Saccharomyces cerevisiae S288C: one gene and its partners. The gene in region 3 interacts genetically with the main gene of each other region. Each region holds a gene or a part of one and is shown on either strand. Other genes may lie near its edges.

What was found.
Region 1: mutations in YGL176C (region 3) and YOR381W-A together harm fitness less than expected from each alone (positive genetic interaction), as found in Saccharomyces cerevisiae (one large-scale study listed by BioGRID).
Region 2: mutations in YGL176C (region 3) and FMT1 together harm fitness more than expected from each alone (negative genetic interaction), as found in Saccharomyces cerevisiae (one large-scale study listed by BioGRID).

The regions. Positions count from the first base shown.
Region 1 is NC_001147.6:1,056,715-1,059,090, reverse strand, and holds YOR381W-A (uncharacterized protein), read right to left. Parts: upstream 669-2,376; coding exon 501-668; downstream 1-500. Other genes in the region: FRE3 (ferric-chelate reductase), read right to left, coding at 1,411-2,376.
Region 2 is NC_001134.8:200,516-203,761, reverse strand, and holds FMT1 (methionyl-tRNA formyltransferase), read right to left. Parts: upstream 1,707-3,246; coding exon 501-1,706; downstream 1-500. Other genes in the region: bifunctional glycerol-3-phosphate/glycerone-phosphate O-acyltransferase SCT1, read right to left, coding at 1-224; RRN6 (Rrn6p), read left to right, coding at 2,014-3,246. UniProt on the Saccharomyces cerevisiae protein: Formylates methionyl-tRNA in mitochondria and the cytoplasm. Responsible for the formylation of the 8 N-terminally formylated (Nt-formylated) mitochondrial matrix proteins that are encoded by mitochondrial DNA.
Region 3 is NC_001139.9:168,380-174,948, forward strand, and holds YGL176C (uncharacterized protein), read right to left. Parts: upstream 4,701-6,569; coding exon 3,036-4,700; downstream 1-3,035. Other genes in the region: MPT5 (Mpt5p), read left to right, coding at 1-2,192; ssDNA endodeoxyribonuclease SAE2, read right to left, coding at 4,906-5,943; BUD13 (Bud13p), read left to right, coding at 6,166-6,569.

The DNA.
Region 1 (2,376 bases), on a different chromosome or scaffold from region 3:
TCCGATCGCTGTAGGGCTTGGCGTCAGTAGCACCCAGATATTTCACTGTAGGAGCTTACTTCACTCATTTCAATTGGTATACAGAAATCTATGAAATGTAGTTAAAGGCATCACTAATCCGCATCCGCGATACCCGCAACATATACGGAATGTCTATGTAAAAATGTCTCCTGTGACTTTCATTAATCGAATCTTTCTATAAAAAAAAAAATGAGCAAATCACAGTACACCCACTACTCGCATCATCAACGTTGAGTCAGTAGCAAAGTCTCCAGTTATGGTGCCCTCTGGTCCAATTGTAGTAAATTCGTTTGCACGGATGAAAAATAGCTCATGAATGTTCTTGTGTATTTGAATACCATTATGTGCGCGGCTCATACGGATTTAAGTGTGATCTTCCCCTCCGTATTCCCTGTCAATAACTCAAAGTTTTCCCATTTCGGTTTGAAGTTCTTCACAAGGGAGTTTCTTGGCGCAAAGGCATGATGATCGCATTTGCCTCAGTATATTTCGTCATTTCGGTACTGAGAAACGAAATTATTTTGCCTGTTGTCTTGCGTTTTGGCAACCCTTAAGAATTCATCTAATATGTTGGTCCTTAAAGATAAGCGCTTTTGCTTGTAAAATTCTGATTTTTTGTCTTGTGATGGTAATGCTACATTGAACATCAATGCGTATCTGATTTTAAAAAAAAAATTAGAAGTGTGTATAAAATGAAGGTATTATCAGTTGAGCAAATATTACATGTGCTCTTCAAAAGTACCTGCTTTTCATTTAGTGACTATCAGGATGATAACGCCGCTCGTCTTATTTTTAACTGTCGTTTTCTGATAAATGTGTTGAAAACGTGCTAAACAACAATTACCTGTTCTCAAGAGCCTTGAGCCTGGATTGAGAGCAAAAAATCTCTCTTTCATTTTATACAGAATTCGGAAAGAAGATGGATATTTCATGAAAATCTGTTGGTAAAAAGTGGATAAAAATTTTGTATTATTAGTATGTTCTTAGTGGTTAGGTGATAACGAAGCGAGAAAAGCAGGGCAAATGGAATAGAATAGCGTGTAGTTGTTAAAATTTTATTTCACTGAGGCTTATATGCTTACTGAGAAATTTTTTTTTTTTACAAAAAACTTCTTTTTATGTTATACCAGCTGTGGATTACCACAACAATTGGAAAGAACATCAATCCAGAAAAAAAATTCAGTTAATTTGGAGGAAGAGAAATTTAAGTCATGGAACAAGAGTGGGAGACAGTTAAAAAATGCTTCCAAAGATTAGTAGATTGAAAAAGTTTGTGAAAGTCGATCAATTGTCTTCATTGCAGCTAGACATAAATTATGTTTCAGGTCAAAACAATTAAATATATACTTGTGATAGGTAAAATAGTGAGGAAATAAATAAGGTAATTGATTACCAACTTTGGTATTCTTCAAAGTATTCGATTGCCTTTGCAGGCTTCTCTAGAACAAGATTTGCCGTTTGATCCCTTACTTCGTCAACGAAAACAGGAGGCCCACAACAAACCACAGCTAACGATCCATTTAGGTCACCAACTTCATGCAGAAGCTTTTCAACATTGGGTCTTCCATGATGAAAAACAGTACCATCAAATTCAACTGGATTAGGTGACTGTTCTAGGGTAGTTGCCATAACAACACCTTTTCCATCGGCCTTCTCGTCTTGTTGAGAAATTTCCAAACTATCATTAGGAGTTAATGCCGGAACTTCCATTGTATTGTAGATGTGAAGCTGTACATTAAGATCTTCTAGACACATCAGCTCCGGCTTGTAAGCCTCGAGTACGTTAAACCCTCTAACTGCAATCACTAATTTTATGAATTGTTTTCCAGTTGCCGCTGACGTTTTTCCAAGTTTAATGGCGTGTGCAATGGGCCCTGGCAAACCAGTACCTCCCGTAAGTAGCAAGACGTTATCATAATTATTGACTGGAGATGAAGAGCCATATGGACCTTCTATAGCTAGTCTCATAGATGCCTTACCTCCATTGCAACACACATACTTTTTGACAAGTTTTGTTACTCCCTTTTTTTCCTTCAGGATAATAGTCAGCTCACCATCTTTGATAATTGAATCTAAGACTGTGAAAGGATGTGACTGCCAAAAATACAGGTGGTGTAGGAATGAAACGAAAACATACTGTCCTGGTTTGGCTTTCCATAGCCTTACTGGTCGTTTGACTGTGACTCGAATGATGTCATCGCCAACTAACTGTAAGGAAGCCTTAGGGAAACCGAAATAAGATACTCTAACAATTCGAATTAGCCTATCAATAGTCCAGATAGCAATAGCAGCGTATATCCACTCAATCCCACTCAATTCTACGACGTGCTCCCAACACGTATAAAAGAACAATGC
Region 2 (3,246 bases), on a different chromosome or scaffold from region 3:
AAACTGCCCCGGCCTCTGATTTCTCTAAAGAAGCAGTGGAAGATGTTGTACAACAGCCATGTGGCGATGGAGTAAAGTATCTTCTTGGTAGCGCTAGGCTCTTGGTAGATGTATGCCTGATCAGCCGACGTCTTGACGCTTTTGGCCTCGATGGAACTGTAATTCGTAGTTTTCTGTGTGCTCTTGGAAGAGGCAAATTTCTCCGTGAGTTTTGGTGCAGGCATTTTTTTTTACCCCGATGTAAACGCCCCTGTGCTCTTTTTACTATATATTTAATTCCGGGCTTCCTACACTTAATTCACTCTGTTATGAACTACAAGCCATTACTAACATCAATCTTTCCGAATCATAAATAAACTGCAACTGGGAAAGAAGGCGGGCCTACTTTTCTTTTTCTTCATAGCGCGTAGGGCTTGGCAGCCATAGTTGTTGAGAGACCGATGGATGAGGGATTGAAAGAAGGGAGAAGAAGAATACTAAAAGAGGAATGTAGAGCCGGGTTACAGGAAAACTAACTTTTCACTCAGGGCGCCGCATCTTTTCCGCAGGCGCGCCATGAACTGGCCAGCACGTTCTACGGCGAAACCTTCGAACTGGAGGCGGCTCACACATAGTAGTAAGTTGCCGCGACAGGTGACCAAAATACAGTCTTTAATATCATCATATTTGAACATGCCCGGTTTACTGCCATTATCTAGACGTGCGTCTCTCATCACTTTACACTCATGAAACAATATTCGTTTTAATACTGAATTTTGAGCGTCCTTTCTTGCCGCTGTCGCTTCTTTGAACGCGTGCAGAGGACCGAGCGTTTCGAGTTTGTTAAGTAGTTCGGCGGCAGAATCGCGCGCCCAATGAATGCGTTTATCTTCTGTTGTTATACGGTGGGCGTAACTGGGTTTGTAAGCTGTTGGCGCTTGCACACGGTTCTGTGGTAGATATAACCTCTCACGAAGCGTTTGGCCCAAAAGTTGGGCGCCAAGGGCGCCCAACTGGTCCATCAGTATGGCAGTCCTCCGAGGCAGGCCCTCAGAATTAAAATCTGCCGTCGAATCATTGACTCTCCCTTTTGACAGCATTGTTGCGATCGCCAGTGGCTCCGTCTGCGCTACAATTGCACCATGGTCAAACCGATCCGGATGCAGTGTCTGTATAGTTACACCGGTGTAAGTGTCACCCTCGAGCAGAGCTCGCTGGATAGGTGCACTGCCTTTATGTCTGGGAAGTAGCGAAGGATGGACGTTTAGCGCCAATGGCACCGCGCGGATCAAGTCACCCGGAATGAGCTTCCCAAAAGAAACCGCAATGATCGCGTTGAACGGAGCACCGGAGCCGTCGTTCTCCGGATTTCCTTGGCGACTGGGTGTCAGTTTGCTTAGCGCCAACATTTCCTGCTTGGTGTCGCATGTAATTGGGCGTGGCAATTGAAGCTTCTCTGCCATATCGAAGATCGGCGGGTATTTCAAAATAGACTTCTGTCTACCGCACCACTTCGGCGACCTAGTTACTACTTGAATATTGTCCACTATACCACAGCTTCCATTATTTTGACGCAACTCATTGAGTGCTTGCAATGAGAAATTACTGAAAGTGTCGCTACCAAAGAAAAGCACATTCAAGGGCTGCACTGGTGGAGAAGCATTGTTTGAAATATATCTGCATGTGAATAGGAGGCGTGTAGGTGTTATTCTTCTCATTTTAACCATTTGTTTGATACGCCGTTTTCAATCTTCTCACTATGAGGTGCCTAGGTCCCCTTCCTTTTTTTTCTTACCTCTCTTTTTACGTTAATGAGAAAAGCGCTTACTCCTCTCCATAATAGCAGGTACAGCTTTTTTTGCTTTTTTCTTAATGGACGCTTCTTCCATTTGATATAAATATGGGTTACCCTGTGGGCATACGATAATTTTTATTCTCTCGATTAAGAAACCGAGATGAGCTTTCATATTAGTTTGGTAATGATATTGATGTGGCAAGTTGAAGTAAAGAGAGAAGGCGTTCTATGGGCTGAGCATGAGTGAGGGACAAATTCCAAGCTCAGATGTGTTAGGCTCGCAATTGGGTGTTGGTGTACAAGGCGCCAGTCTTTACTGTCCGCAAGAAAATTACACTACGAAGAAGCAAGAAAAGCCACAATGGCTAAGACCAGTAGATGATACATTGGCCGAGGATGCACTAGACCTTCATATAGTGGTCAAAAGTCTGCTTTGTGATACTGCCATAAGATATATTTCCGACGACAAGGTTTTGCAAGAATCAGATGCCGACGATGATCTCATAACTAGCGATATTGATGAAGATACGGACAATCAGGGGGATACATCTATAGTGGTCAATCCAGTGATACCCGTGGTACCGAAAGATGTCCATTTTTTTAAGAAAGTTGACGTTGGTAATGATTCTATGTTTGGTGTGAACTGCGATACGCCAGTTTCATTTCAAGATTACATTCCTTCAGATTTGCTGCGCAACTTAGATGATACATTACAAGAAAGTACTAACTCTTCGAGGCCGATGCAAGACGCCTTCTTTTGGGATCCTACTGTGGCTAATCGACTGGACTCTCAATATATTCAGACAGCATCAGATTTAAGAAATTATAGAGACGGAACCGAAATCATAGCATATGCCTCGGGTAAAACAGGCTCAGTCCTAAATATAGCAGTTCTGACACGACAAAATACATTGCATTTAAACCGACATAACAATGTAACGAGTATCGAATTGCATTCACCTATCAAGAGTATTAAGATACCGGGGGCCTCTGAGTCCATCGGGCGGAGATCAAACCTGGTGGGCATAATCACCGAAAATTCTTTCCAAATCTTTAGAATTGAAAGTGTCCACTCAAGATCATGTGATGTCATGGTTAGTAGTTCAGAACCACTGTATTTTGTTGAAATAGACGACCTTCAGGTGGTAGATTTTGCATTCAATCCTTGGGACTTACAACAATTCGCAATCATTGATATAAAAGGTAACTGGAGTATCGGGAGGATACCAAAGAATTTCAATAATAATAACAAAAGGAAACTACAGTTAATAGATAACCTCCACGGTACGATTTTTGATCCAGAAGAATTATCGTCATGGAAAAGAATAGAATGGTTTTCACACTTCCAAAAAATACTGGTCTTTGATAGGTCCAAAATGATTGAGATCGACTTTATGAACAATTGGCAAACGGAAGTAGTACAAGCGAAAGCATGGTCAAACATACGTGATTATAAGCGGATAGATGATAAA
Region 3 (6,569 bases):
AAATGGATGGTCCCAGGAGAAAATCAAGCCACGATTTCACGGTTGTTGCTCCTTCGAACTCTGGTGTCAATACCTCCAGTTTAATTATGGAAACACCATCCTCTTCAGTGACTCCTGCTGCATCTCTCAGAAATTTTAGCAATAGTAATAATGCTGCTTCCAAATGTGGAGTGGATAATTCGTCATTTGGTTTGAGTAGCTCAACGTCTTCATCTATGGTCGAAATCAGCGCACTACCCCTTAGAGATCTGGATTATATCAAACTTGCCACTGACCAGTTTGGCTGCCGTTTTCTTCAAAAAAAATTAGAAACCCCCAGTGAATCCAATATGGTGAGAGACTTGATGTATGAACAAATTAAGCCATTTTTCTTGGACCTTATTTTGGATCCGTTCGGTAACTATTTGGTTCAAAAACTATGCGATTATTTAACTGCCGAGCAAAAGACATTATTAATACAAACAATATATCCAAATGTTTTCCAAATATCAATCAATCAGTACGGAACTCGTTCCTTACAGAAAATTATAGACACTGTCGATAACGAAGTTCAAATCGATCTCATTATTAAGGGATTTTCCCAAGAATTTACTTCGATTGAGCAAGTGGTTACTTTGATAAACGATCTTAATGGTAACCATGTGATTCAAAAGTGTATTTTCAAATTCTCGCCATCAAAATTTGGTTTCATCATAGATGCTATTGTAGAACAAAATAATATCATTACCATTTCTACCCATAAACATGGTTGTTGCGTACTACAAAAATTACTAAGCGTTTGTACTCTACAACAAATTTTCAAAATTTCTGTGAAAATTGTGCAGTTCCTTCCTGGATTAATCAACGATCAGTTCGGTAATTATATCATCCAATTTCTGTTAGATATCAAAGAATTGGACTTTTACTTATTGGCTGAGTTATTTAACCGTTTATCCAATGAATTATGTCAACTATCTTGTTTGAAGTTCTCCTCAAATGTTGTGGAAAAATTCATTAAAAAATTATTTAGAATCATTACTGGATTTATTGTTAATAACAATGGGGGTGCCTCCCAAAGGACTGCAGTTGCTTCTGATGACGTGATTAATGCTTCTATGAACATTCTTTTGACTACCATTGATATATTCACAGTCAATTTAAATGTGCTAATCAGGGATAATTTTGGTAATTATGCGTTACAAACGCTATTAGACGTTAAGAATTATTCTCCTCTGCTTGCTTACAACAAAAATAGTAACGCAATTGGGCAAAACAGCTCTAGTACATTGAATTACGGTAACTTTTGTAACGATTTTTCATTGAAAATTGGTAACTTGATTGTCCTTACAAAAGAATTACTTCCAAGTATTAAAACTACATCCTATGCAAAGAAAATTAAGTTGAAAGTTAAAGCTTATGCAGAAGCCACAGGTATACCATTCACTGACATATCTCCTCAAGTCACTGCAATGAGTCATAACAATCTTCAAACGATTAACAACGAAAATAAGAACCCCCATAACAAAAATAGTCATAATCATAATCATAATCATAATCATAACCATGCTCACAATAATAATAACAATAATAATCAAAAGAGTCATACCCGTCATTTTTCTTTACCAGCTAATGCTTACCATAGAAGAAGTAACAGCTCTGTAACCAATAATTTCTCAAACCAATATGCACAAGATCAGAAAATTCACTCTCCGCAACAAATTATGAACTTCAACCAAAACGCATATCCCTCGATGGGAGCACCTTCTTTCAATTCTCAAACTAACCCACCATTGGTAAGCCATAACTCGTTACAAAACTTCGACAACCGCCAGTTTGCAAATTTAATGGCACATCCTAATTCTGCTGCACCAATCCATTCGTTCTCATCATCTAACATTACCAATGTGAATCCTAATGTTTCAAGGGGATTTAAGCAGCCTGGATTTATGATGAATGAAACCGACAAAATTAATGCTAATCACTTCTCGCCATACTCTAATGCAAATAGTCAAAACTTCAATGAATCTTTTGTGCCTCGTATGCAATATCAAACGGAAGGTGCAAACTGGGATTCAAGTTTGTCAATGAAGTCGCAGCATATTGGTCAAGGCCCATATAATCAAGTTAATATGAGCCGCAACGCTAGTATTTCCAATATGCCTGCCATGAATACCGCTAGAACATCTGATGAACTTCAATTCACTTTGCCATAATACTTTTTTTTCTTTCTTTTTCTTTCCTTCTTACTGTACAAATATTTTACGCAGAAATCAAAGACAAAAGAAAAATAAAAAATAAAAAATAAAAAATTCAACTAAGCAATGACGTCCTACTAAAGTCCCAAAATTTGAGCCGGAAAAAAATGGTAAAGCAAACTATTGCCATCTTTATATTTTGTATTCTGTTTCCGAACACGTATCCAAAATCCTCCCACTGCCTTTGCAGGGTTAGCATTGCTCCCTACCAAAATGATCTAATTTTTTTTTGAATCGTTTTTTGTCAACGATTATTTTTGTTTTAAATTCCTCATCTTCTGAACTTACGCCCAACTATTATTTAATTCATTCATTCATTAAGCAATCCATACGTCCATTCATTCATTCAGTTTTCTTTTTGTCTATTACTGTCATTTTATTTTCAAATCCAATTGTCCTTTAGGACACTAATGTGTTAAAATATCCATTCGCTCAAGCATTTTTAATAAATAGGAAAATACCGTTTGTTTTTCTTTGTCATTTGTATAAATTTTTCTACTGGTTCCTGTCTTGGTTGGCTTTATTATATTTAGGTTTAACTTGTACTAACAATGATACATATTTGTATATTTTATTATAATATCATATCTAACTATATCTAAAATCGTTGAACTATTCAGAATGGAATTGTACACCAAGAAGAATTATGCTATAACACCATAAGGTCATTACATTTGGGTTTTGACTGCTAATTAGTTCGAAGTCGGCGTTAAAATTTAAAGAATATTTATACATATGAATATGTATATGAATGCAAAGTATGCTAAAATATTTATAAAGCAAAAATCTCGGTGGGCTAAACTAGGTCAAAGCAGATGTTATGAAGATATTGGCCCCATTGTAGGGATCATCTTCTCTCCGAATTAAGATGCATATTTTTTGAGAAAGTGCTTCTTCAGGTATATCGTAAGGTGAAGTACTGCTCTCTTCACCTAGAGGTTCCACAGCATCAAACGGATTTACGTACCTTGGGGGTATGAAAGCCGAATGTAGGTGGATAGATTCAAACTGGAAGTTTTCTAACCTACAGTAGTTCTTCATACCTCCTATTGGATAGAGGGTGATATTTCCACCTTCGGATTTTTCGTAGTCAAGATTTCCAGATAAAGTGGTACAAAATACTTCAAAATCACCCTTTCCGTCCCTAGCGCTAGTTGAACCATAAATGAAGTAGCGCCCGTCATCCGATATCTCGAGTATTTCTGTATCCTTAGTCACGTTTAAGAACTTAGTTTTAAAAGATACAACCGGGATTTCGGTCAGAATGTCCTCCAGGAACGTATCTGCTATAACCAGTTGTTGCACATTCTCTTTGTCTGCCATTCCAGATATAAGTATTAGGCCTTTATTATTCAATGCTTTTATGGAAACAACAGATTTTAGGGAATTTCTGATAGGTTGATTTCGACTTTCTGATGTCATACCGTTGGTCTTGGAGTACTGTAATGTCATGTTTGTAATATTAGTGAAGACTATTGCCATTGAATCACCATTTCTGTAACCTAAATAAAACACACCGGTGTTCGTTTTTTTTAAAGGTGATAAAGCATCTTCTTGTAGACAAAATGATAGGGAAGTAATGTCACTCCTACTTTTGTGTTTTCTTGAGCTTTTGGCAGGAGAAAAGATATAGGGATTTGGAAAGGTTTCTGGAATCAAATCATAAAAATGACAACGATAATTTACGGTAATAATCAACGTGTCTCCAACAACAAGAGAATCATGGACTTGGCAATTTTCTTTGAGTTTGACCTGACGAATTTTGAGCAGTTTTAAGGAAGAAAAGTCTTGTAAAAAGATGGCAAAAGTATGCACGTTAGATCTGGTATTAACGTTGTGATAAAAATAATGGCTCGGCCCTTCCTTGATGGCAACTGTTCTCTCAAGTTTCATTGTTTTGAACACATCAGTTGGCTCGGACTTATATTTCAACATAGGATTTAATTCAGCCATGGAAAACCCCGTAAAGAAATTTTCTTCAGAAAAATTATCCAGGGATGAAAATCCTGCGACATAGCCCTTGTTTGTTGCAAATACTAATTTACTATGAAAACATCCTTCTTGAGTTACCAATAAAATACAATTTGCTAATACTCCTATCTGTATCCTGTGTGGAAAATTGAGTGATTTTACGTTAGCAGAACTATGTGAGTGATGACCTTCAGTGAGAGAATGCGATGCATACTGCATATTTAAACCAATCATGTACTTTTCATATGATAAAGGGCGAAAAGCCCTTTCCAACGGATTCAGAAGACTAAGCTTGTACTTTTGTAATGTTTGCTGACGTTTTTTTTTAATCATAGAAAATTTTTTATCGTAATTTTCCTCAACACATTGTCGCTTTATATTATCTTTTCTGTACTGGTTCGTCGTTCCCGTGGTAGAAATGCTTTGATTTTCAGATATGCGAAAATAACGTCGACGTTCTCTATCATAATAAAACCCTGGTAAGTTAGGTGTCATTTGTTTAACGTCCGTTAACTTCCCCTTTCTGCTTTACCAACTGCTGCTTATTTATTCGCCCTTTTTTGTTTTCCATTGTTGTTCATCTCATTGCCTTTTTTTATTTTTCAGTTTTTCCCATATGCCAACGAGGAAAAAAGCCCTTTCAACCATACCAAAAAAAATGTATTTGAAGTAATGAATAAAGAATGATGATCGCTGGCGTTTAACATCTAGCATATATCTGCAATAATTTATCACTCCAGAAGAAACATCCATCGTCAACAATTTGATTTAATTGTTCTCTTTTGAATACATATTCTCTCTCGTACGGTGGGATCTTGTTATTGCTTGCCATTAAAAACCTATATTTTGTCTTTCTTCTGATGATTTCCTGGGATTTCTTTTTGTCCTCGTTCCCTTCCTGAGTGGAGGGAAAATCCAGTCTTCCAAAACCTGGGGGGGATTTTGATCTATTCCTCAAGTTATCAAACGCAAATTCGTAGTCCGAATTTTGCGATTCTATAACTACTGACAATGATCTGTGTTTAGAATCCTCTGGCTTTCCAACTTGGGCATAAAATCGCTCCAATTTTCTTCTTCCTCTCTTAACCGGGGCGATATCTTCATTTGGTCTAAAGTCTTCGAGAATCCAGGCTCGCTTTGTTAAAGGGTTCGTATTGAAGTCAAACAGGAAATTATCCTTAACATTTTTGTATAAATTTGGCGATGTAGATTCAGGGTTCTCGAGCTCTATTCCCAATAGTTTTCTTGTTTTGTTCTCTTTATCATTATCTTTTTCGTGGATTACAGTATCAGAGCAATCTTCCAAATCGCTTAAGTTGTTGAGGCCATTTAAAGGCGAACTAAACTCCGAAATTTTCCGTTTATGCCTATTAGGTGGCATAGTAACCAGCGGTAACTGCACAGTGTGTTTATTTTCATTACGATAGTGAACCTCTGCTGATTCTTTCTTTATGTCCTCATCAAACTGAGTAAGGATGAAATCTTCAGAATCTTGCTCACCTGGCCCCGCAGACGTCTGAGAGGATTGTTGAGGAGCATTTTTTTCGTGACATAGAATTTCAGCCAGTTTACTGTTAGGTTCTTCGAGAACACATTTATTCCGATTTTGCAGTGCTTGAACACGTTTCGCGATTAAGGTAGTCACGTCATACTGCACATTTAGTAGTTCATCGAGACTGAGCTCCTTGAGAATGGATAAGCTTGACTTTAGATACACATTTTCTTCACCAGTCACCATCTCACATACAAACACCTAATGGCTTACAGCATGGATGGAAATGCAGGTATGTGAACGATAACAATGTTTGCAAACGTAAACAAAAAAGGTATTAAAGCTTAAAAGCTTTTTTTTTGTAGAACGCGCTTAGAAAATGGCATAAAGAAAATGGCTATTTGACTTGATTTTGAAAGTTGTTCTCAAGACTCGAATGGTGGAAGATAACAACAGGACGTTTATTACATGGCATTGCATCAGTATTTATCAGAGACTTATGGGCCCACGAAACCCAAAAATAAGACGAAAAAGAAGAAGAAAGAGTCAAAATCAGACGCTAACTCAGACAAAACTTCTTTGATAGTAAAAGAACGGCTAAGTACACTGCAACAAGAACAGGAGAAGTCAGGAGTTGCTTCATTCAGCAAGTTTGACAAACAAAAAAGCAAGAATATATGGAAGAACCTGGAAACAAACGAGCTTTCCCATGCAATAACACATCCTTCCGCATCGTCAATTACTGGCAACGAAAGCAAGAACGATCTAAAGGAAATCAGGGCTCAAGAGCCACTTGTCACAGTAGCAGACAAATCGAAAACACGAAAAACCATATACAGAGACGCTCAAGGTCACAAGATTCAGGAAGATTC